Linked DNA regions of Tamandua tetradactyla. The protein of the gene in region 1 interacts with the protein of each later gene in a pairwise test. Links are inferred from orthologs where the notes say so. Each region holds a gene or a part of one and is shown on either strand. Other genes may lie near its edges. The genes, in order: AAGAB and AP2S1.

The links.
Region 2: the proteins of AAGAB (region 1) and AP2S1 interact in binary tests that used the Homo sapiens proteins (3 or more experiments, as listed by UniProt). The link is inferred for Tamandua tetradactyla from reciprocal best matches to the Homo sapiens genes AAGAB and AP2S1.

The regions. Positions count from the first base shown.
Region 1 is NC_135340.1:84,519,955-84,532,970, forward strand, and holds the start of AAGAB (alpha- and gamma-adaptin-binding protein p34), read right to left. Parts: upstream 5,153-13,016; 5' UTR 5,115-5,152; coding exon 5,042-5,114; intron 1-5,041. Other genes in the region: IQCH (IQ domain-containing protein H), read left to right, coding at 5,386-5,436, 12,759-12,881. UniProt on the Homo sapiens protein: May be involved in endocytic recycling of growth factor receptors such as EGFR.
Region 2 is NC_135342.1:14,398,241-14,410,770, reverse strand, and holds the start of AP2S1 (AP-2 complex subunit sigma), read right to left. Parts: upstream 5,851-12,530; 5' UTR 5,676-5,850; coding exon 5,673-5,675; intron 2,357-5,672; coding exon 2,207-2,356; intron 1-2,206. UniProt on the Homo sapiens protein: Component of the adaptor protein complex 2 (AP-2). Adaptor protein complexes function in protein transport via transport vesicles in different membrane traffic pathways.

The DNA.
Region 1 (13,016 bases):
ATATGCTTGAAACTAATTAGATCATCTCCCTGGAGATGTGATTTAATCAAGAGTGGTTGTTAAGCTGGATTAGGTGATGACATGTCTCCACCCATTTGGGTGGGTCTTGATAAATTTCCGGAGTCCTATAAAAGAGGAAACATTGTGGAGAACGAGAGAGATTCAGAGAGAACCAGAGAAGAACGACATAGCCACGAGAAGCAGAGAGCCCACTAGCCAGCAGACTTCTGACATGAAGAAGGAAAATGCCTCCCAGGGAGCTTCATGAAACAGGAAGCCAGGAAAAGAAGCTAGCAGATGACGCCGTGCTTGCCATGTGCCCTTCCAGCTGAAAGAGAAATCGTGACTGTGTTCACCATGTGCCACAGTCACTTGAGAGGGAAACCCTGAACTTCATCGGCCTTCTTGAACCAAGGTATCTTCCCCTGGATGGTTTTTGATTGGACATTTCTACAGACTTGCTTTAATTGGGGCATTTTCTCAGCCTTAGAACTGTAAACTAACAACCTATTAAATTCCCCTTTTTAAAAGCCATTCCATTTCTGGTATACTGCATTCCGGCAGCTAGCAAACTAGAACATAATGGAATATTATTTAGCCACAAAAATGAAGTTCTGATGCATGCTACAACATGGATGAACCTTGCAGACATCACATTGAGTGAAATAAGCAGACACATAAAGATAAATACTATGTGATCTCATTTATATGAAACACCGAGAAGAAGTAAATTTCACAGAGTCAAACAGTAGATTATAAATTACCAGTGGGAGAGGGTGGGGGAAGAAGTTATTCTTAATGGATGCAGTCTCTGTTTGAAGTAGTGAAAACTTTGTGGTAATGAATACTGGTGATGGCAGCATAATATTGTGAATGTAAATACTACTACTGAATTACACTTAAAAGTGGTTAAAATGGGAAATTTTGAGTTGCATGTGTCACAAAACAAAGTTAAAAAATAAAATAAGTTTTTAAAAAATTAAGAATGCCACGGTAAAGTTAAGAAGCATTATATAACATAATAAGTAATTAACACTATAATTCAGAATTTTAGATCTGGAAGGGATGTTGGAAAGGATGTATTTTTTCCTTTGGTTACAGCAGTCAAAACATTAATAATACAGAGTAGGAGTGACTAATAATATCTCTATGTTGAGGGCACTCAATTGAGAAAATAAAAATCCAAACATTGTTAAATACTATCAGGTATGCATAATGCTCTTTTATAAATACAGGTTCTATAACCAAAAGAGGGAAAACAAACATAACAAAATAAGGTATCAGTGGCTAAGAGATATCAAATAGAGTTAAGAGGCTATTCTGGAGTCTATTCACATGGAAGCTTCAGCTAGATATTGCTAAATTGCCATGGTTTGCCAAACCCCAACCAATATCATTCCTGTTCCTAAAGAACTCCCAGGGCTCTATCTGCAATTCTACAAAAGTTGCAAACACTAATTTTACTTTTCAGAGACCTAAAACTTTGAGATGGTTCCAAGGCCAGAAAAGTTCTGAAACACAGAGGTGCCATTCTCTCCAAGAACATCAAGCTGTTCCATCCCCCTACCCCATACTGTCAATACCCCTTTTCAACACAAAGTTAGAATGGGCATAACCCAAATAGTCCTAGAGACTGGGAAAAGAATCAAAGGAGAAAGAGGCGTTACAACAGAGAAGTTGGGATTTAACATGTAAGTATGACTGCTGAATCATTACATTGATATTTTTTAGTCTCCAGTGCCTTGGAGCAGCTAGAAGGAAAAACCTGGAATTATGGAACTGTAACCCATAACAAACTTTGAAATCTGTTCTATAACTACTTATTAAAACATACTTTGAAATGTACTGCTTTTTTGTTATACATGTTCTATTCCACAATAAAAAATGTTAAAAAAAAATGCAGGTTCTCTGGGCTGAACTTTTTTCTCTCCAATCAGAATTAAGATTTTAATCATTCTGAAAAGGATATGAAGTGGGCATATTTTAAAACCTTCTTTTAGGGGTTAATCTTTTCATTTTCCTTTGAAAGTCTACATTATAAGTTAATAATGTTCCTTTTATCTAATGTCAGACATCCAACCAGAATACTGCAAACAAGGTCTTTGAGTGGGGCCTTCTTTTTTTCCCCTAAAGAGAATAAAAAGGTTTCTCACAAAGTCCATGTAGGCACTTTATCCTTAGATAGCAATCTACTGATTTTTATTTTACACATATATTTCTAACGAACTTGGTTATCTGATTGTGCAATATTTCCCATTATTGGGAAATTAAAAGCAGCAAAATATATCAGGCATTAGAAGAAAATAGAAACTGGAGGAACCCTGAAGGTTCCTCTTCCTGCTGTATGGAAAGAAACCAAACCTATTCAAAAAGGTAGATATGATTCAACCCAAACCCATACTATGACTTACTATAACTAAATACTTGAAAAAAAGCATTCATTATGGTCTTCTTGCCAAAGAAAAAACTGAACTGGACACTGAAACAGTCATGGATGACTTGATTCATAGTTACTATGGTAGGGGAGAATGGAACTCAACTGCTGAATCAAAGGATGGCACGTTCCTAAAGGGCAGGGAATGGGTTGGTGGATGGAAGTGAGAGAGAGGGGTAAGTGATTTATTGAGGGTTCAATTAGGACCACATAGCTTAGAATGTTTTCTTTTGTAATAATTAGGCCACCTGGAGAAGAGAACGCATGATGGGGAAGTGGGGGGAAGCAACTAAAGTTGATAACTATGAAATAGCTAGCATCTGACTTGTTTTTTCCCTTTTATTTACCCCCACCCCTCCCGGTGTCCCAGAGCTGCAATATTAGTTTCAAGGGAGACAGGGCCAGGGAGGGAGTGGATAGGGGCATGCAAGGAGAAGGGCCATAGCCTGGTGGAGCGATAGAAGTCTTTGTCAGTCTAAACCTTTTATCCCAAAATGAGATTCAAATGAGTGATCTAACTCAATCTTTAATGATGGTAACATAGAGTGAATGCTCAACAAATACTTCGTTCTAATGCTTTCCACCTCTACCCTATTCTTTAACCTTGGAAGAAATGGTAAAGCTCTTTTTTTTTTGAAGGGGGGGCGGGGGTGCATGGGCCAGCGTCTCCCATGTGGCAGGTGAGCATTCTACCACATAAAGCCCTCTTTCAAAGTTCACTTTTTCTTACTCAAGTAATCTGCTCACTAATTGCTCTATTTTTTTTTTTTTTACCATGGAGCACTAACACAATAGCAAAGCAAAAATCACCTAAGTTTAACCTGAGTTGGCTTTCAAGTTATCTAAGAAAGACAAAAATAAAGTGGATTATCTTACAGTTTTAATTGTACCTCTAATGATTCTAATATACTTTAGAGATGTATAATGTTTCTATTCATCAAATGCAGATAATGAGCACCTTCAAGGCAGTGACCATATCTGCCAGTTCTCCTAAAAGTATATGATCTAATACCATGGTCATCATGCTTCTGAGATTGACATTGACAGGATTTTCATATAGCATATGGGAACTTAATGGAAATAAGTGTTTTGGAGATATAAATATATAAAGAGTTTTAAGACTCTTCAACAAATTCAGGTATGTTCACTAGGTGTAATTTATGATAGAAACTAACTTTATGATGTAATGCTCAGTGAGAAAATCAAGAAAAAACTGTAAATGAAAAGCAACTGCAATTTTTTTAAAAAAACTATACATTAGGAAAACTATGCATTAGGAAGGAAATGCACGAAAATGTCAACAGTATTTATTCTTGAGCAATGAGACTAAAAGTAATGAGACTACAATTTCTTTTCTCCACGTGAAACTTTATCTATCATTTTACAATGAAACACTAGTGTTTTAAAAAGGGGGGAGGGGAGAGAAAAAGAAATAGAAGCACCGTTCAGAGGTAAGGAAATCTACAATTAGAGTGGTTAGTTAACAGTAAGTACTGTAATTAAATTTTTACCCTAGCAAGGAACTTTCTAAGTGATCACAAATGATAACTAAGTCACAGAATATTTGTGCTGGAGGGACATCATGTCTAATTCTGTCATTTGATGAGTGCAGAAAAAATATATAGCTGTATGATGCTCTACAGTTTAAAAAGGGCTTCCAAAAAATATTGCATCACCTACTAAGGATCAGAGAGGGAATGTGCTATAATAGACTTACCATTAATCAAATGCTTACCATGTGCCAGCCACTGGATTAATTATTCCCATTTTACAGTTAAGAAAACTGAAAGGCCTATAGAGGTTAAGGACTTGCCCAGTATCACACAGCTAAGAGCCAGTGCTCTAAAACAAAGCCATATGCGTAAAACAGGTGTCTTCAGTTATAATCAACTTCACAAAGCTCTTTAATGGCAGAATCGAGCTTGTGACCCAGGCCCATGCTCTCTCTACAACTGTCTCCTCGTCTAGAGTTTCTTTTAAAGGTTACTGAGTTTGACAGTCACTGTGATGGTCCAGAAGCAAAGGACTTAGGCTCAGGCATACAAAAAATTGAAAAAATACTGGCAGTGAGCCTATGCCTCAAAAGGAAGGTAAAGCAGAGAATAACTACCGAGAAGAGAGGACAAAACTCACAAGTCTTATATACATCAAATGGTAGCCAAGTAATTTAACATACATGAAATTCAGAGAAAACATACTCTATCTCAAGAATAGGAACATCAGTCAAAATTACAGTATCAAAATTCCTGCACCTCATACTCGCTCAAGTACAGCTTCCAGGGTGCCTTTCGGTTATCTCACTAGATCTTTGTATCAACCGGTGGGGTGAGGTGGAGAGGACTGGGCGGGGATTAGTTCCACTTTACAGAAGAAACTGGAAGTAATACAGTAGTGGGCCGGACGGGCAGAAAAGCAACCAGCTTAAGAGTTAATGTGGGGCGGCGGGTGGCTGGGGGCCTCGACCCGGGAAGCGTCGGGCCAGCACTGGGTGGAGAAAGGGCCCAAGGCCCGTGGAGGGGCAAGGCCCAGGCAGAGGCCGGGTCCTGGGACTTTCGCCCGCCGAGGCTCAGGAACCTTGGGGATGGGTCCGACTCCCTTGCTACTCACGTTGAACCAGACGGTCCCCAGTGAAGGTGGAGGAGCAGCTGGTGACAAGCGCACAGGGGACGCCCGCAGCCATCGCCGCGCTTTGCAAGCCGGTTCCGTCTGGGAGCCGCTTCCGCCTTGGACTGCACCACGGCCGCCACTGCGCGGGGGAGACACGCCAGCTAGAGCGCATTCTCGGAATTCACCGGCTGCCCAGACTCCCCCCTCCTCCCTCTCTTCCGCTCCCGGCGTGGTATAGGCCAGGCTGCGCTTGGTGTTGCCATGGGGATGAGCATCCCTAGTACAAGGTGCAGTGCCTGAAGACTGCGCCTCCGCGAGAAGGGTAATCCTCTCCAGCCTTAGCCATGGCAGAGGAGACTGAAAATTACGACCCCATCGGATCCATCTTAATCCAGGTGGGAAACCGGCCTCCTTCAGCGCTGCCCAGTTAAACACTTACGAGCGACGCCCAGCAGCGCCGATTCACTCGCTCAAGCCCATTTCGGGGCCCGCACTGAGACTGCCTTCCACCAAATGAGGGACTCCACCCCTCAGAGAACTGCGAAACAGGCTCACCCAGATCTCGCTCAGGACCCAACACTCGCCACAGCCGTCCCTCTCCCTTCCCCACCCACCTCCCCACACACTTTCACTGCCCTGCCTTAACCTGGAGGTTGCGCTCCACAGAGCACGACAGTTCAGGCTCTGGTAAAACTCGTAAGACCTAACACACGTTTCATCGCCCTCACTTGGGAAATTTTACTTCAGAAAAGTCTATTTTGCTCTGCGGTACCATTTAAAAATGTTATGTTCTGAAAAATTTGCACCCATGACGTCGGGGGTGGAGGACACAAATCCGGCAGCTTGGGGATCTGGAGGGAGTCCCATGCCTGGGAATACACACTTAGGAGAATACGTTAAAGATAACTTGCGTTGAAAATCAAGCTAACGTTTTCAATATAGAAATGTGATAAATTTTAAAACTCAGGGAAATTTTTTTTCTAAACTGAGGGGGAAATATCAAGAAAGTCCTGAATTCTCCAGTGTAACCCAATTTTGCAACATTTTCTGAAATATACCTGTTTTCCCAGGTATATATCATAATTACAAAATTGTTAAACGTATTATCACTTTTAACTCATATTTAGCTCTATTTGCCTAAGGCTTGATGTGATTTGCCTAATGTCACTTTATCAGGACAGTCACCCAGATCGTCGATGGTCTAATTGATCTTCATGTCAGGATTTTGGTCTCTTACCTTCCATTTAGCAGAAACTTTCCTAAACTCACCTTTTCCAAAACACAAGCCCCAAAACTCAACCATTTTAACCCCATTATGAATCATACCTACATCTTATCTCATCCTTTTTCATCCTTTCTTTCACTCCCCACCCTCTAAATCTAGGGCCCGTCTTTACAAACGCAGAACAGTTGAGACATTAATGGCAACTCCTACCCAGAAAGAACAGTTCTTCCCCTACAGTATGCCTCATACTGTCTACAGAAACACATTTCTCCTTAGTTTCCTATGTTTCTCCAGACCTATGAGATCTCCAAAAACTGTTCAGAATCTGGGGAGAATCTTCCTAAAGCCTCCTTGTGCCGAATTATCACCTACTCTTGATAATTCTATATCCCAAAACTGTTCCCATTGTGATTTGGTATAGTGTAGAACAGAATGTTAACTGAAAAGCCAAAAAGAAGCCTTTTAACCTCGAAGTGGGATCCAGAGGGAATCATTTAATCAGCCTGCTAATTTGAGTTGACACTGAATTGAACAATGAATCAGAAGAGCTAAGAATAATCAAGGTTCTTGCTAGTCAGCAGTCCCGCTTGCTAGTTAGAGAAAGGGAGCCTATATGTTAACATGATTGAGGCTTACTGTGCATATAATATAAAATTCTCCTTGTTAATATGTATAATATTTATAATGAGGAAATTTGTAAGGCAGATAACTTTCAACTAAGGTTCTTTCTTACGTGGGAAGGCTCAGGATAATCTCTGCTGGCCTTCTCTCCAGGCCTCTGGGTTTCAACAACTTTCCCCAGGGTGATTTCTTTCTGCATCTCCAAAGGCCTGGGCTGAGCTGCAAGTGCTGAGATGAGGTATGCTGAGCTGCTTGGGCTGTGCTACGTTGAGCTCTCTCATTTAAGCACCAGCCAATTAAGTCAAACTCATTCATTGCAGCAGGCACGCCTCCTAGCCGACTGCAGATATAATCAGCAACAGATGAGGTTCACGTACCATTGGCTCATGTCCGCAACAACGGAACTAGGTGCCTTCACCTGGCCAAGTTGACAACTGAATCTAACCACCACACCCTGGCTCTAATATTCCCCCAGGTGGATAACTTTGGGCTAGTCACTTCACCTCTCTGGGCCTCAGTTTCCTCTTCTGTAGAATACATAGCTTGGATTAGTTCCATTTCTGACTAAATTGACCCAGTTTCCTCAAAGCTACATGATTCCTCTTTATTGTAAAGTACACTCTCTTTATTGTTAGCTTAGGCAATCAAATTGTTTCTGGCAATTATGTGTGCATAATTATATATACATGATTGCGTATAAATATGTGTGGAAATGTTGCATATATATATATGTATACATATACATGATTGCCTATAAAGCAAAAAATACTCTGTCACCATTTGTTTCACCCTAATGTGGTATATTAGGTCTGTGTTTCATCATAGACAGTAAGTAACTCTTTAGACCAGTGGTTCTCAAAGAGGTCCCTAGGCCAGCATCATAAGTACCATCTGGGAACTTGTGAGAAGTATAAGTTCTCAGGCCCCAACCCAGACCTACTGAATCAGAAACTTCAAGGGTGAGCCCAGCAAACTTTTTTTATAAACACTTCAGTTAATTCTGCAGCATGCTCAAGTTTGAGAGCCATTACTTCAAATTGTAAAATATAATCCACAATACAATTTCAAAGAAACGTAATAATAAAGCTAACATAGCATTTACTATGTATCATGCACTACCCTAAGTGCTATATATATTTTGGGGGGTGGGGGTGGGGGTGCATGGTCTGGGAATGGAACCTGGATCTCCCACATGAAAGACAAGCATTCTAACACTGGACCACCCATGCACCCCTAAGTGCTATATGTCTTTAAACTCATTTAACCCTTACAACAAGATTCCTAAGTAAGAAATATTATTATCCCCATGTTATGGAAGGGAAACTGACCAGAGATATTAAGTTACTTATTCAGGGTAACCCAGTAAATGGTAGACCAAGGAGCCGACCCAAGGCAGAAGGCTCTAGACTCTGTGCTTTCATCCACTGCCTTTCATGAGTATTGTGAGTAGGCCAATGTACATAGAAAATGCAAGCATTCTTCTCAACCCTTTTCAATTCATCATTCTGGTATAAAAAGAAAATTTCCTCTTGCAGCTTTGCACTACACTGAATATCTAAACCCTGCCTTTTCCACTAAACTTTCACCAATTTAACTTTATATATGAGGTGCTTATTAGCATAATACGTCTTTATTCTGAGAAAGAACATAATGGTTAAGCATGAAGGTACTAGAGTCAGACTACCTGAATTTGGATAGTTCTACCAAGTAGCCAAATATGTTAACTTGCACTTAACCCCTTTAAACCTTAGGTTCCCTCAAGTATAAATGAAGATAATAATATTAAATCTCTCATAGGAATCTTGTAAAGATTAAGATGTAGGCTAACATATACAGTATAATGCTCAATAAATGTTAACTGTGAGGTCTGGTCTCTTGCCCTTTTATGTTATGTAGTTCTCTGTCTTTTTTAGGTTAGGGCTGCATTTTACTCCTAAATTTCTGGGAGATGAGGAAAAATTGATTTCTACTTGTCTTTTTTAACTAGAATTACTCCATTCTTAAGTGGAACTTTATTTGTAGGTGTTATTTAGCAACAAGGTGTGCCTTATTTCCTTCTTAATTACAAGCTGGATTTTTGGATATCCCATTATTCCAGCACAGGATTAGGCAATAGATAATGGATAGTTGAATAATGACCTACTCATTAATTCAGTCTTCAATAATTTATGTTAGGTTCAAAAATGAATGGAGCTATGCTGATATTTACCATTATCTAGAAAACCTTTTTTTTCATAGATGGTACAAATTAACTGTAAAAGCAATGTTTTGAGAAAATATCTAAAATACTTGAGAGAAAATCTTTAAATACAAATAATCAGTATTCTGATTATAAACTCTTTTTTGTGACTTATGAAAATATGTTCCTTATGTTTGGATTTTCCAGGATAGTTCTGATTGTGTATATTTTGTCTCATTGTCAGATAGTGTATCACAGTGCATGTTTTCATTTTTGGTTCAGAAAATGTGATCACCCTATTTATATAGAGTTCTACTAGGCAGCATTCTGTTAACTACTTAACTTCTATCACTTTCAAGTCTATAAATCAGACTTTTTACAATTTTAGCCAGCTCTTTTCTCTACTAATTAGAAAGAGTGAGGTTTTATTATAGTTATAATCATCATAATTAAAATAGTAGCCAACATTTATTAGGAGCCAGACACTGTGCGGAGAGCTTTAGATTGTCTCGTTAAATCCTAACAACAATCCTATCATGCAGAAATTATTTTTAGCTCTATATATAGAAAAAAAAACTAAGGTGCAAAGAAGAGGTAAAGTAACTTGCCCAAGGTCATACAACCACTGTGTGTTGATCCTTAATAGGTTATGGCATGTATGTAAAACAATCTTGAAGAAACGTGATAGTAGTCCCAGGGAGGTTTCCTAGGTGCTTTCTTTTATTAGTGGCTCTTAGAGGCTTTGTGTTTATTCTTCATTAGTAATAATATGGTATCTTTTTTAATATAACTTTACAAATGCTTGCTTGTCCCAACTATTAAACATATTTTGGTGCAACAAGAAGTACCTAGTCTTGCAATCAAAATTAGCTTATTGATTAGTTTGGAAATCTTATTTAAAAAATCCAGGTAATAGGTTCATACCAACCGTGGAAATACTGGATCTCATTGACAATTTAATTTGATATCAGTCCCTCTGCCTGGTTTGCCTGGAACATACAATATAAAAACGAATGAAGCTAAAAATAATTAGAAGTGATGAAAATGACTCAACCAAACTCTATATTTAGCAGAAAAGAATAAAATGAAATTATGAGGCTGCTTCTAATAATAAGGAGCCTGTTTTCATGGTGCTTTTGAATTCTAGAGCATATCTTCGCTGCATTAAATCTTTCAATTCTTTATTAAGCAGCCCTGTCCCCAAACTGTCAAATAATCTTCCTCCAAGTAGGAAATATACGGAAAGCCATGTGTTTAATGATCACGGAGATGATGGGTAATGTGTAAAATTTCAATATGATAGATTGAATCTATTTGAAGAAAGAACAGTGATTTAGAATTTAAGATCTCTTCTGCTACCCAAAATTTGTGAAACATCTTCTACAGTACTTGCCTTTATTGCAATTATACAGGCAGGCACATGGGTGGTTATTAAGGGGGGAGAAGGAAATATTTGGCAAGTAAAGTAAAAAGTTCTTCAGTAAGATTAAAGAAGCAGTTCAGTGAACACTTTACTGAGCACCAGTTTTGTGCAAGAAGGTTCACTGGGTTTACAATTCAGGAGAGACTTAATATTTATGGAGTGCCCTCCTAGTACTGTATAAGCATTTTACATACTCTAACTCATTTTATTCTTACCACCATACTGAGGTAGATATCAATAAAACCTCATTTTCAGATGAGATAGCTAAGCCTCTAAGAGACTAAGTAACTGGTTTAGTTCCTTAGGCTGCTCAAGCAAATACCAGGAAATGGGTCAGGTTAAACACTGGGAATTTATTTGCCCATGGATTTGAAGCTAAATCAAAGTCTAAATTGAGATGTCATCAAGGGGAGGCTCTTTTCCCAAAGACTGGGTTCTGGTGCTGACTGCTGGTAATCATTAGTCCTTGTCTCTTCTGTCACATGACAATGCATATGGTGGCCTCTCCTGGCCTCTCTGTTCTCTTCCAGGTTCCATTGAATTCTAGCTTCTTGCTTCTGTGGCTTGCTCTCTCTGTCTGAATTTCATTCTGCTTATAAAGGGCTCCATTAATAGGATTAAGACCCACCCTGATTGGGCTGGGCCACACCTCAATTGAAGTAACCTCATCAAAAGGTCCTGTTTATAGTGGGTACACACCCACAGGAATGGATTAAATTTAAGAACATGGGGCGGGGGGCGGGGGGCCCTACGTACAGCTCCAAACCATCACAGTAAACTTTCTCAAGATCATTTAGTAAAGAAGGAAGTAGGATACCAGTTAATATTTGCCTGATTCCAAAGCCTGTATTCATTCATTTTCACATGCACTACCTCATTTTCATTCGTCAGTTCTAAGAGGTAGAGTAATTATTTTGGTTTTTATCCTTGATGAAGAAATTAAAGGTTCAGAAAATTTGGATACCATTCATGGAGATCATGTGACTCATAAGTAGTAGAGCTAGGAGTTCTTTTTAGCTGCCTTTTATTCAGCTGGTACTATGTATATCATCATCACAAAGCTCTATACAGAAGTATTATTTTCGCACAAGGCAGATGAAGAAACCAAATCTTTGTTTCTCTGATGAGCGCTGTTTTCACTCCCCCAGAAGGTGACAGACATAATTGTAGAATAACACACAGAGCTACAAATACTAGAAAAGGGAAATTCACTGCATTTGAAGGAGGAACCAAATTATGGACCTGGAAGTGGGACTTGCCCTGGAACTGTCTCTTTGTACTTTCCAAATGTCTTTAGATAATAAATGGTAAATCAGCTTGCAGCAGTAATTTGGACAAATTAATGGAAAGAAGTACATCTTCATCCTTGGTGCCTACAAGAAAGCAGTAGGTATGTTCAGATTTCAATCTGTGAGCCCTGAAGGCCTTACATGACAATTTGTGCAACGTACAAATGACCAGATGTGTCTGCTAGTCTGTAATGCCCATTGGTGAAAAGATGCAAATTCTGTCTTTTGAGTACTTGACTCTGTGGCAACATTCTAGAGTAATCAATAACGTAGTTTGGATCAATGTGTGGGGCCAGCTATACTAAGAGAGAAAAGGTAACTATTTCAAAATGCCTTTAGCAACCCAGTCTGCAGATTGTTATTGGTGTGACTATTGCTGAAACAGGTGTTGGGTTCATAAATTTGCATAACAAAATGTTTTTCTTGTGGCAGCAGCCCATACAATAATTGGTGCCATCTGTATTTATCTGTTGAAATTTATTTCCCAATATGAATATAGAAACCCTTACACTGTCTAATTTCATAAGGCCCATTTTATTCTGAGGGTGCTTGATGTTTAAGAGATGTTCATCTCTATCTGAGAAAAATAAAAATTGAAGGAAAATGTTAAAGTAATAACATATGTTGCTTTTTCTTCATGGATTATTTTCATTTGTGACTACATAAAACAATAATAAAGCCACAGCATCCAGCAGGAAGTAAGCAGGGAAGATAGAGCTAGGATGGAAACCAACAGGTCCTATCAGCATATTTAGAATATTCTTTTGTAAGCCACTACTTCCACTACAGACTCCCTTTGCTGGAAGTTTTCTGTTTCCTTACCTTTTAGAACCAAAAAGACAGTCCTTTTCAATGAATGCCATAAAATCAACTTTATCTCTAACAGTTCAAATATGCTGCAAACCTTTAAAGTAAGTAACTATTATAGGTGGCTATTTATATATGTATTTTCTCAATATTTTATATTTTTATACCTACAGGTCCATGAAGACCTTTATCAGTTAAAGGAGAAATTAACAAAATTCCCACTCTCAGAAAAAGGAGACACACTAGACATTCAGAATCTTGAAACAGCAATCAAAAGGACTGAAATGGGATTAAAAGTAAGTAGAACTTTAGGTATTAAATAATATATTGGGAGGAGACAAAGATTCCTCTAAAAGAGAATAATTTTGGTTCTCATAAGACCCTGTGTCATTATATAACTGAGATGGACTTAGGATAGTCATTAACATTCT
Region 2 (12,530 bases), on another chromosome or scaffold:
GATATGTCTCCCTCTCCACGCCAGCTCACCACTCTCAGTCCTGACCATGGTGGGCAGTCCCTGTCTGGGTTGGTTCTGTCTCCCTCACTGGGCTGTGAGCCCCAGAAGGGTAGATCTGGGGCTGTCTCGGTCACTGCTGTGTCCCCAGCACTGCCCAGCCCAGGGCCTGGCACAGTGGAGGCACACAAGGATTGGAATGAATGAATGAATGAATGAATGAGAGTATAAGCAGTGTGCCTGGGCCTTGGGAGATCCTAAGAGCTGAGGGCCGGGTCCCTGTGTGACATTCTCATCTGATTGGCCGATCTTTCTGGTTACACCTTCCTCTAGGCTGTTTCTGGTCTCTTTGGGCCTTACCAACCCCCTCCTGGTCCCTCAAATATGTATCCCTCCCGGCACTCAGCATAGGACCTGGGACTGCGTGGGCAGCAGGCTGCACCAGGAGAGCTGGTATCCTCCAAGCCCCCATCACGCTACTTCCAGATGGGGAGCCAGCCTTGGTCCTCTTCTCTTCTTTACTCTCCTCTATCCTCACTCCTTGGTGAGTTCCATGACTTTAATAAGTGATGTGCAGAAACTTCCACAATCTTGCTATCTGCCCAGCTCTCCCCCTGAACTCTGGACTTATCACTACCTCCTGGATGTCTCTGCCTAGATGTGTAATGGACACCTTGAATCTTACTGTCCCAATACCTCACTCCTGATCTACACCCACAAACCTGTTCTTTCCAAAGTCTGCCCCACTTTAAAAATGACAGCTCCAACCTACTGGCTGAAGAAGACAAAAATCTAGACATCCTTCCTGGCTCCTTTTCCATTCAGTTGGTTCCAATTCCGAAACACTTCTGCCACCTCCAGTGCTCCCATCATGGTTCCAGTGATCAATAAGACTGAGCTGGACCACTGGGGTTGTTTCCCAAGTGGTTTCCGTACTTCTGCTCTGGCTCCCATCTCACTCAGAGTCCTCACTTTAGCCCACGAGGCTCTATGCCATCTGTCCTCGTCACATCTTTGACTTTATCTCCTCCCACCCTTTCCCTGGCTTACTCCACCTCAGACATTTGGACTTCTTGCTTTTCCTAGAATGCCCGGGGTATGTCCCTGCCTCAGGACCTTCACACGTGCTGCCCCCTTGGCTCGAAATGTTCCCTCATAGAGCAGCTCCTTTTGCTCTCTTCGATTCCAGGTCTTGGAATCACCTTTTCACTGAGACCTTCTCCAACCAAAATATTTAAACTGCCCTCCACTCCATGGCACGCATGCCCCAGCACGACTCACTCCTGTGGCTGCTTAGTTTCCTCCTTGGTGTTCGTCACTACCCGAGACACCATACGCTTAAGTGTCACCCCCCATCTAGAATGACAGCAACCCGAGGGCTGGGAACTTCGTCTGTCTTGGCCACCGCTGTATCTGCAGTGCCTGGCCCACAGTAGACCCTGGAAAAATATTTGTCGAATTCTGCAGGACAGTCTGCTTGCTCTGGTTAATGTTGTGAGAACGAAAAGGTAAAGACATAGCTTTAGACATAGCAAGGAGACTCAGCAATCAAAAGCAAGGCAAGATTTTCTACTAGAGTTGAACAAGAGTTGAACAAATCATTTTTAAAAACTCATTTGGGAAAATTGGGGGAAATTTAAATATTGATTGGGCATGATAGCAATGATAAGAAATTATTATTAATATTTCCAGTACGATAATAGCACTGTGGCAACGTAAGCAAATGCTTTCATTTTTTCAGATACAACTGGACATACTAAGGGGAGAAACATTAGGGTGTGTGTAATTTAATTCAAAATGCTTTAGCAAGGGGGATGGGCACTTGGAGGTCCACTACTCTTTTCCATCTCCTTTCAGGTGTTTGAAAATTTCTATAATAAGGGTTAAAAGGGGACCAGGAAAAAAATCCTTTAGCGAAAACTGAAAAAGGTAGAGCAGATGGCAAAATAATACCAATTAGATCCGTGGCAGGTATATTCATCCTCAACCAACTTTTCACTCATTATAGTCATCTATACGCTTGCAAATGCTCACAGTGAAAAGTAAAAAGAAAAGAAAGGAGAGAAAGCTAAAAGTCAAAATGCATCGCATGCATGAGTGTAGGAAAGGAGGAGGGTCTGAAGGGTGATTGCCATCAGTGGGAGGGCAGCAGGCAGGGAAGGAAGGGGTCGGGGGCAGGTGTGTGTGTGTGTGCAGGGGGGTCCGTCACCTCCACAAAGTTGGTGTGTTTGGCATCTCGGACGGTGACCACTGCATGCACCTCCTCGATCAGCTTCTGTTTCTCATCGTCATCAAATTGCATGTACCACTTGGCCAAGCGCGTCTTGCCCGCCCGGTTCTGGATGAGGATGAAGCGGATCTGGGGACAGAAGGAGGAAGTGAGAGGCAGGCGGGTGGCAGGGCAGGGAGGGCAGGAAGGAGGGCACGGGCCAGGCAGGGCACACCAGCTGCCCCACCCACACAGGGAAGAAGGGGTCCCCCCTCTCTGCTGCTCTGTGCTTGCCCTTCCGGGGGTCTGGCCTCCCCTTTCATCCCCAGTCCTGCCAACACCCAGGGAGTGACTTCTCTTCCACCTAGTAGAGAGGAAGCCGCTAGAATCAGTCTTTACCACCTCTCATCTGCGGGAACTTGGACAAGGGCCCTATCCCTCTAAGCCTCAGTTTCCTCGCCTACAAAATGCATTTCCTAAGAAGACCTTCCTTGTCAGGCTGTTTTGAGGGTTAAATGTTTATAAACTTAATTCAGTGTCTGCCACACTGCAGGCACTCAATAAGTGTCTGAGTCCTGGCTCAGCCACTTTTTTCCCCCTTACTAATTTAAAAAAAATTGAGATATAATTCATACACCATAAAATTCACCCATTTAAAGTGTATACAATTCAGCATATCCAAAGAGTTGTGCAAAAAGCACCACTATCTAATTCTAAGAACGTTTTCATCACTCCAAAGAGAAATCCCCCAGCTTGCCCTCCGCTTCCACCCGCAACCGTCAGTAACCACAAATCTGCTCTCTGACTCTATGGATTTGCCTATCCTGGACATTGCAGGTAAATGGAAACACATACTAAGTGATCTCTGTGCCTGGCTTTTTTTTTTTTTTACATCACAATGATGTTTCTGAGGTTCAGCCATGTGGTGGCTTGTATTGACACTCCTTCCTCGCTATGGGAGAACAAAATCCCATCGCACGGCCATCCATACCACAACTTGTTTGTCCCACTCATTTGTTGATGGGCATTTAGTTGTTTCCACTTTGGGGCTGTTGTGAATAGTCCTGCTATGCACGTTTGTATACAAGCTTTTATTTGAACACCGGCTTTCAATTCTTGGGCTATAGACCCAAGAAGTGGAATTGCTAAGCCACTGGTAAAGCTGATCAACTTTTTTTAGGAACTGCTAAACTGTTTTCCAAAGTATCTGCCATTTTTTAAGTACCTTAACTGCTTAGTGCCTTTGTTTATTCATCTGGAAAATAGATTCTCATAAGGATGTGATAAGGAAACAAGAGGTGAGAAGCACTCAGCACCTGATTCAAGGCTGAGAGTAAGTGCTCAGTGTCAGCTGTAATTCTCATCTGTTCTGACGAGAGAAAATTTGTTATGACACTACTGCAAGGCCAGGTCAACCCACATAGGCTGCTGTAAAAAATCAATGAGCTAATGCCAAAAGTGCTCAGTAAAATGAGCCAGTATTATGACCGGGACGCATTTGAGCCAAATGGCTAAATGCACACATAGCGGAGCCAGAATGAGTCCCAGCATTCACTGCTAGTGAGATGTGTAACCCTGGTTAAGTCACTTAACCTCTAGGGGCCTCAGTTTGCTCTTTCGGTATAATGGACACAATAAGAATAACTCCCTCACAGGACTGCTGCACGAGTTAATAAACATAAGGGGTGTAGTATAGGACTAGCACTTGTTAAATGTCATGTAAGTATTAGTTTTTATTAGTATTATAATTCATCATTATTTGGCTTTGAGAAAAACCAGGGCCCAAACTCACCCAGCTCGGAAGCCTGCCTTTGGGCTCACTTCTGGTTGAGACAGGCATGCTTATGCCCATTTCATAGGTGAGGAATCCAAGGCACAAGGAAAGGAAGTCTCCAAAGGCAGAAAGCAGAGCTTTGCTCTGAACCCTTTTAACATGCTTTGTAGAGCCTCCATCTTTTACTTGGAGTCTCAGCCTCTTTCTTAAATCTCTTTCTCCATATGCTCTACCTCTCCTCCCCTAACCAATCAAGCTGGAAGGGAACAGGATATTACACTTTACTTCCAAGAACCTCTTCTGCTGAACCAAGGAAAACCACTTCCTGGCAGGGCAGGAAGGAGTATATGGGCATGGGGGTGGGAGAGCAGGATCCACACCAGGCAGCCACAGCCTGGGGACAGAGCCAGAGGTGCTAGAAGCAGGCCTACAGAGCTGAGGGAGGGCTCTGCCTGTCACCCCTAAGTGCTCTCATATACCTTTTCCCTGTTTCTCCTCCCAGCTAGAATCTCTCCACCTCTGGAAATCTACTCTGAGACACCCCCTCCCTCCTGTACCCTCATCCCTCTGAATGACCCCCAACCTTTCCATCTTCCCTGGAGACATTCCCTTTTTTTTTTTTTTTACATGGGTAGGCACCGGGAATCGAACCCGGGTCCTCTGGCATGGCAGACAAGCATTCTTGCCTGCTGAGCCACCGTGGCCTGCCTGAGACATTCCCTTTTGACCTTTATTTTTTCATGTTCAATTCCCCCTCTCTGACCTCAATTGGTCCTTTCATTGAGACATCCCTCCTCTGACTCAACTCCTCTCCTGTTCTAACAGGCACCATCCTGCCTTCAAGGTACTACTTCCTTGGGGAGACTCACCCCACCACACACACATCCTGTTCTGACCCCTTCCTCCATTCATCTCTTTTCCTAACTCCCTGTCCAGAGGCCCTTTCTCCTGTTCCAAAGCCCCCTCCACAAATCCAATGCTCAGTCCTTGCTCCAAGAGTACATCTACTTCCTATCCACAAAGAACCCATCTCTTGGAAAGCCCTGCCCCAATGCACCTCCATTTATTTCTAGTATTCACTCACTCTCCTTTTTGCAGCATACTTTCCCTGATTTATTTAAAGCCCCATTCCCTGCAGTGCCTTACTTCTGGCCTCTAGCATCCAGTCCCTTCCCCTGGAGATTATCTCCCTCCATCTGCAGTGTCCTGCCCCAGTTTCAACTCCATTTCCTAGCCTGCAAGGCCGGCTTGCTCTCTCTTGCCCTCCCCCCTGCCCTGTTTCAATGTCTCCCCTTCTTCCCCAACGCTCCTAACTCCTCCCTGGAGAGCCCTCCTTCTGAGACGCCCGCTCCCCACTTCCAGAGCCGTCTGCCTACTCCCGAGACCCTTCCTCGAGAGTTACCTCTCCAGTTTTAAACACCCTCAACCGCCTCCGATGTCTCCCACCTGTATTGCCCTCTTCCCTTGCCATACCCTTCCCGTCTCCAATGCCCCCTCGCTTCGGGACCCTGGCCCACCCCCGCGTGCAGAATCACGACCCTGTCCCTCCTTTCTCGATCCTAGATCAGCCCCAACCCTGCGAGCCCGCGCCGGGCCCAGACCATCGTGCCGTGGCTGGGGGCTTTGTTAGCGCCCAGGTGTCTGCACGCTGACCCCCCTCCGCCAGTCCCCGGCGTGGGCACGCCCCGTTACCATGGCGACCCCCGTCCGGACCCCAGTGGCCCAGATCCCGTGGCGACTGGGTGGCTCCGGCTCTGGCTGCTGTCGGGGGCCCAGGGCAGAGCGGACTTCCGGTAAAAGACCCGCCTCGCCCTCTCGCGCACGGCCCTCTGGGAGTTGTAGTTCCACGAAAGCGTTTGTACATCCGTACGCAAGCTATGTGGGGAAAGAGCCTGGTCCTCTTCCCAGCATGCTGCGCGACTGTCCTTTACCCACTTCCCTGCTGCATGGGGAGAGTTCTGGGGGAACATTTCCTCAGAGGACTACAATTCCCGACATGGATGACAACCATCGTAGTGAGTGTTGCCTTCTGGGAAATGTAGTTAAGGCAGAGCTCCCCTTCCCCTCCCACACGTTTTGAATAAGAAATTTGTGGTAGGAAACGAGAAAGTGTCTTTCTGGGCTCACGCAGTGCTTTGTTTTAAATATGTGGAAGGTTTCCCTGTAAGAGATGGTCAGTGGCTTAAGAGAGTGAATTTGAGAGTCAGAATTGTGTGGAAATCTTGCCCTCGCACTAGCCTTGGTGACTTTTGGCCAGGGATTTCACCTCTCCAATCTCAAGTCTTCATTTGGGAAACAGGGATTATCATAATATCTGTCTTGGTCGGGTGGTTTTAAAGCTTCGAAAAGATTCCAAAGTTAACACAGTGCCCGCCACATAAAAAGTGCTCAAGTAAAATGCTTTAACGTTATGAATGTTCACTGTTAAGCGATGTCATGTGATAGGGTTTTCTCATTCACTCCCTAGCCAGGGGTACACTAGTCTTCTTTCAGTGATTCCAATATGCAAGTGCCTTCTCACCTCAGTGCCTTTGCACTTGCTGTTCCCTGGAGCGCCTTCCCCCATAGTTTCCATGGCTGGCCTGGAATTACCACCTCTGCAAACCTACATATAAGACCCTGAATTTTTATTTTTATTTGAAATATATGTCTATATATAAAGCAAAGCAAGAAAAAAGCAATAATTTTGAAAGCTCATTTAAACAAGTAGTTACAAAACAGATCCCAGAGTTTGTCATGGGCTACCATTCCACCATTTCAGATTTTTCCTTCTAGCTGCTCCCAAACACTGGAGGCTAGAAGGAATACTAATATAGGGATTCAGCAGTCATACTTATTTGTGAAATCCCATTTTCTCTGTTGTACCTCCTAATGTCTCCTTTAAGCCTTCTCCCAATCTATAGAGATTTTGGGGGGGATGCCTCTTCTGACTTTTTCAAGTTGAGAAGGGGTGCAGGACCCTGATTTCTAATTTTAGAGTTTTTCATTGTTTAGCTTGTAACTTTCAGGAACATACTTAATGTTACTGTTATAATCCTAGATATTAAAAGTTGATTGTTAGTAAATGAGTACCTATATATTTCAAAGAAAAAAGCTCTCTCCCTCCATTTCTCTCTAGATTAGCTGTTAGTTTGGTTTCTTTATAGCTGTAATTACAACTATTAATGATTTTATTTGTCTGTGTGTGTATGTCGTCTAGATCCCCCATGAGGTGAGGTGGTGAGCTCGCTGAGAGTAGGGCTCCTGTCTGTTAACTGTTATCTTTATCACCTAGAAGATTGTCAGCACATAGTAAGCACCCAATAAAATAATTAGAATTAGTAACAAGAGCATAATTTCCCTAATAATAATCACCATATTATCAAAGTATGTAAGTTGAAAATGTGATATTGACAGAAGAACAAACACATGAGTGGCTATTCAACACAAGGGCAAACAGAGCCCAGAGATTATTCTGACTTTTGCACTGCTCCATTACCAACAGGGCTGGACTAGGGTGAACCAAGTAAGGCACCCAGGGTGTCAAATTAAAAAATCACTCATGCACAAAAAATGAGAAAAGTTAAAAGGCGCTCACTCTGAGGTGTCCACTCAGCCCTTGCATGAGGATGAAAGTGAGTGCTTCCTTAAATCGTGTTCCCTGGGCACTAAATTTGCCTCACATTCGTTCTGGTCTTGATCTCCAGGACTCATCTTAATGCCCAGCATAGGTAGCACTTGGCATTTGCTGAATGAATGAATGAATGAATGGAAGAACGAACCGGCAGCAAGAAAACAGGTACTGATCCCGCTGTGAAAGCATTCATGGCCTAGCAATGGGGCATAGGTTTAAATGATGTTACACAAATAGATAAGAAATAACAATCCTGTGATGAAAAACTACAGGATACTTTGAGTGTTGTATTGGTTCTCTGTGGTTGTGTAATGAATTCCCAAACACTTAGTGGCACAAAACCACAATAAACATTTAGTGTCTCCCAGAGTTTCTGTGAGTCAGGAATTAAGGAGCAGCTTAGCTAGTGGTCTTGGCCTGATGTCTTTCATGAGGTTGCAGTCAGCAAGTTGGCCAGGGCTGTGGTCATCTGAAGGCTTGATTGGGGATGGACGATCTGCTTCCCAAACAGCTCACTTGCTGGCCTGCACACTAGTGTGGCCATTAGCAGGAGGCCTCAGCTGCTCACCAAGTGGATCTCTCCATAAATACATGTGAGCATCTTCACATGGCAGCTATTTCCCCCCGAAATGAAGGACTCAAGAGAGGGCAAGGTGGAAGTTGAAATGTCTTTTATGATCTCATCCCAGAAGTCCCCCTCGGAAGAAGGATCAGTAGATTACTGAGGGGAGGGGACAGAGGATTCAAGCAGGAGAAGAAATGTGGGTAGAATATCAAGCAGACTTCATCTCTGTCCTCATGATCTGAGTGGCTTGGAGTCTGAGGTTAGATGCCATAGACAGACAAGAAGTATCAGTCCCAACTCTTCTACTTTAGAATGGTCCCTGGGAAAATTCTTTTCTTGGTCATGGCCATTACTATTGTAGAAAAAAAAATGAGAACAGATGAAACATGTATCAATAGGAGAGAAGTCACCTATTCCAGGATTCAGTCACATAACAAAGTATTACACAGCTGTTAAAATGAATAAGCCACAGATGTGGCCTCTAAGCTAACTCGGCAGGTGAACTCACTGCCCCACCCCCTACATGGGACATGACTTCCAGGGCTATAACTCTCCCTGACAACATGGGACATGATTCTGGGGGATGAGTTTGGGATCTGGCATCATGGGATTGAGAAAATCTTCTTGACCAAAGAAGGGGAGAGAAAAGACAAAATGAAGTTTCAGTAGCTGAGAGATTTCAAACTGAGCCTAGAGGTTATCCTGGTTATTCTTATGCATTATACAGATACCCCTTTTTAGTTTATGATGTATTGGAGTGGCTAGTGGGAAATACCTGAAACTGTTGAGCTGTGTTCCAGTAGCCTTGATTCTTGAAGACGATTGTATGACTATAGCTTTTACAACGTGACCATGTGATTGTGAAAACCTTGTGGCTGATGCTTCTTTTATCCAGGGTATGAAGAGATGAATTTTTAAAAAGTGACAAAAAAATAAAGAATAGGGAGAGGATAAGGGGTGAAAAATTGAGTAGACTGCAATAGTAGTGGGTCAATGAGAGGGAGAGGTAAGGGGTATGGGATATATATATATATTTCTTTTTATTTATTTTTCTGGAGTGATTCAAATGTTCTAAAAATGATCATGGCAATGAATACACAACTATGTGATGATATTATGATCCATTGCTTTTATAGTTTGGATGCACTGTATGGTTCATGAAGATATTTCAATACAATTTTTTTTAAAACAAGATAAATCAGCTAGATTTTCATGCATTGACATGGATCATCCCCAAGACATGTTAAAGCAATGGGAGGTGCACAATGATACTGTCACATTATACTACTTGGTTTTTCTTTTTATTTATCTCTCCAACTTTGTATTTTGAAAGAAATCCTACTCACCAAAAAAGCTGCAATATCAGTACAATAAACTCCAATATATACTTCACTTAGACTTGCCAATCATTAACATTTTGCCAGATTTACTCTCCTTCACCATTTAAATTATTTTTTAGTTAGTGGCAGGTACCTTCATACTTCACCCCAAAGCCTTCATGCTTCAACATATTCTTCCTAAGAACAAGGACATTCTCCTCCATCGCCAAAATACAATAATCGCATTCAGAAAATTTAACCTTACTACTCTACCATTACCTAGTAAACAGGGGATGTTACTGGAAAAAAAACCCCTGATTTTTCCAGTAACATCCCCTGTAGATTTTGTTTTTGCTCCAAAATGCAATTCAAGGTCAGGGGTTGCATTTAGTCATCGTGTTCCTTTAGTCTCCTTTAATCTCAAATAGTCATTTAAGACATTCACATTTTGAAGTGTTTGGGTCAGTGGCTTTGCAATTAGAATTTGTCTGATGTTTTTCAATAAATAGATTCAGGTTAACATTTTTGGCATGAATATCACAGAAGTGATGTGGAGTCCTTCTTAGAGCAGGGGCACATGGTGTCCCATGTTACAGATGAGGAAAGTGAGGTAGAGAGAAGTTGGGTACCTTAACCAAGATTACACAGATCATAATGGTGGAGCTGGGATTCAAGCCCAAGCATTCCAGCTCCAGAGTCCATGCCTCTAGCCACTATGCTATACTGTATGTGTCTAAATGTAGTGAGAGAGGTTTGGAAGAAAACACACCTCTGGAGAGGCAAGTGAGATTGGGGTGGGTTGTCTAAGGAACCTGAATCTTAGCTGGGGTATTTTAAATTTTTACAAGGACAAATTCATGCATTGTGTAATTAAAAAGAAAAGAAAATCTAATATGATAGAAAAATTGGGCAAAAGGTTTGAACAGGCACTTCACAAAAGAGACAGTTTAAATGGTGTGCTGGTTTGAAAGGATTTATGTACTCTAGAAAAGCCATGTTTTCATCCTAATCAATCTTGTGGATTCAACGGTTTCTTCTAACCCCTATTCAGGACTATAGGTTGGAGGTTTGATTAGGTTATCTCCACGGAGATGTGACTCAATCAATTGTGGGTGTTAAACTTGATTAGATGGAGACGTGTTTCCACCCATTCTATGTGGGTCTTGATTAGTTTACTGGAATTTTATAAAAGAGGAGACATTTTGGAGAGAGTTCCGTTTGAGAATGAGGAGAAAGCCTCAGAACCACCACAGAGAGATGGGAGATCCACTAGAATGACAGCAGAGCCACGAAAACCACACAGAGTCCACCAGACAGCGATCTTTGGAGATGAAGGAAGAGAACGCCTCCTGGGGAGCTTCATGAAGCAAGAGGCCTGGAGAGAAGGCCAGCAGACATCACCATGTTCGCCATATGCCTTCGCAGTTGAGAGAGAAACCCTGAATGACACCAGCCTTCTTGAACCAAGGTATCTTTCCCTGGATACCTTAGATTAGATATTTCTATAGATTTGCTTTAATTTGGACATTTCCATGGCCTAAAAAACTGTAAACTTGCAACTTATTAAATTTCTCCTTTTAAAAGCCGTTCTGTTTCTGGTATATTGCATTCTGGCAGCTAGCAAACTAGAACAAATGGCTAATATATATATATGTGTGTGCTGGTTTGAAAGGATGTATGTCTCCTAGAAAAGTCATGTTTTCATCAAAATCCCATTTAATAAAGGTAGAATAATCCCTATTCAATACTTTATGTTTGAAACTGTAATCAGATCATCTCCCTGGAGATGTGATTTAATCAAGAGTGGTTGTTATGCTGGATTAGGTGACGACATGTTTCCACCCATTTGGGTGGGTCTTGATAAGTTTCTGGAGTCCTATAAAAGAGGAAACATTTTGGAGAATGAAAGCGATTCAGAGAGAGCAGAGCAGAACGACAGAGCCACGAGAAGCAGAGTCCACCAGCCAGCAACCTTTGGAGATGAAGAAGGAAAATGCCTCCCGGGGAGCTTCATGAAACAGGAAGCCAGAAGAGAAAGCTAGCAGATGATGCTGTGCTCGCCATGTGCCCTTCCAGCCAAGGGAGAAACCGTGACTGTGTTCACCATGTGCCTTCTTGGATGAGAGAGAAACCCTTAGCTTCATCGGCCTTCTTGAACCAAGGTATCTTTCCCTGGATGCCTTTGATTGGACAAGTCCATAGACTTGTTTTAATTGGGATATTTTCTTGGCCTTAGAGCTGTAAACTAGCAACTCATTAAATTATTTTTTAAAAGAATCTTTTTAAAAGCCATTCCGTTTCTGGTATATTGAATTCTGGCAGCTAGCAAACTAGAACAATATATATGAATAGATGCTCAACTTCATTAAACATTTTGGAAAGGCAAATTAAAACCACAGTGAAATGCCACTACACACCCATTAGAATGGTCAATGTTTGCGTATATAAATTGACAATGTTAAGTATTTGGGAAAATGTGGAGCAGCTGAAATTCTCATATATGACTGTTGGAACTATAAATTGGTACATCCTCTTTGGAAAGCTGTTTGGGCAAGGCGATGTTCATTTCCTATGGCCAGCGATTTCAATTTTAGGTAGGAGAAATACATACATACATTTACCAAAAGACATGTTCTAGACTTTTCAGAGCAGCACTATTCATATAGCCAAAAAAAAAAAAAAAAAAAAAAGTAACCCAAATGCTCACTGTTGAGTCATGTCCCCCACAAAAGTCATACTTAGGTTCCAACCTCTAGTCCTGCGGGTGCGAATCCATTTGTAAACACGTTTTTGAAGATGATGTTGGTTAAGGTGTGTGCTGGTTTGAAATGATGTATGTACTCTAGAAAATCCATGTTTTAATCCTAATCCCATTTTCTAAAGACCGTTTCTGGTATATTGAATTCTGGCAGCTAGCAAACTAGAACAATATATATGAATAGATGCTCAACTTCATTAAACATTTTGGAAAGGCAAATTAAAACCACAGTGAAATGCCACTACACACCCATTAGAATAGCCAATGTTTGCGTATATAAACTGACAATGTTTCT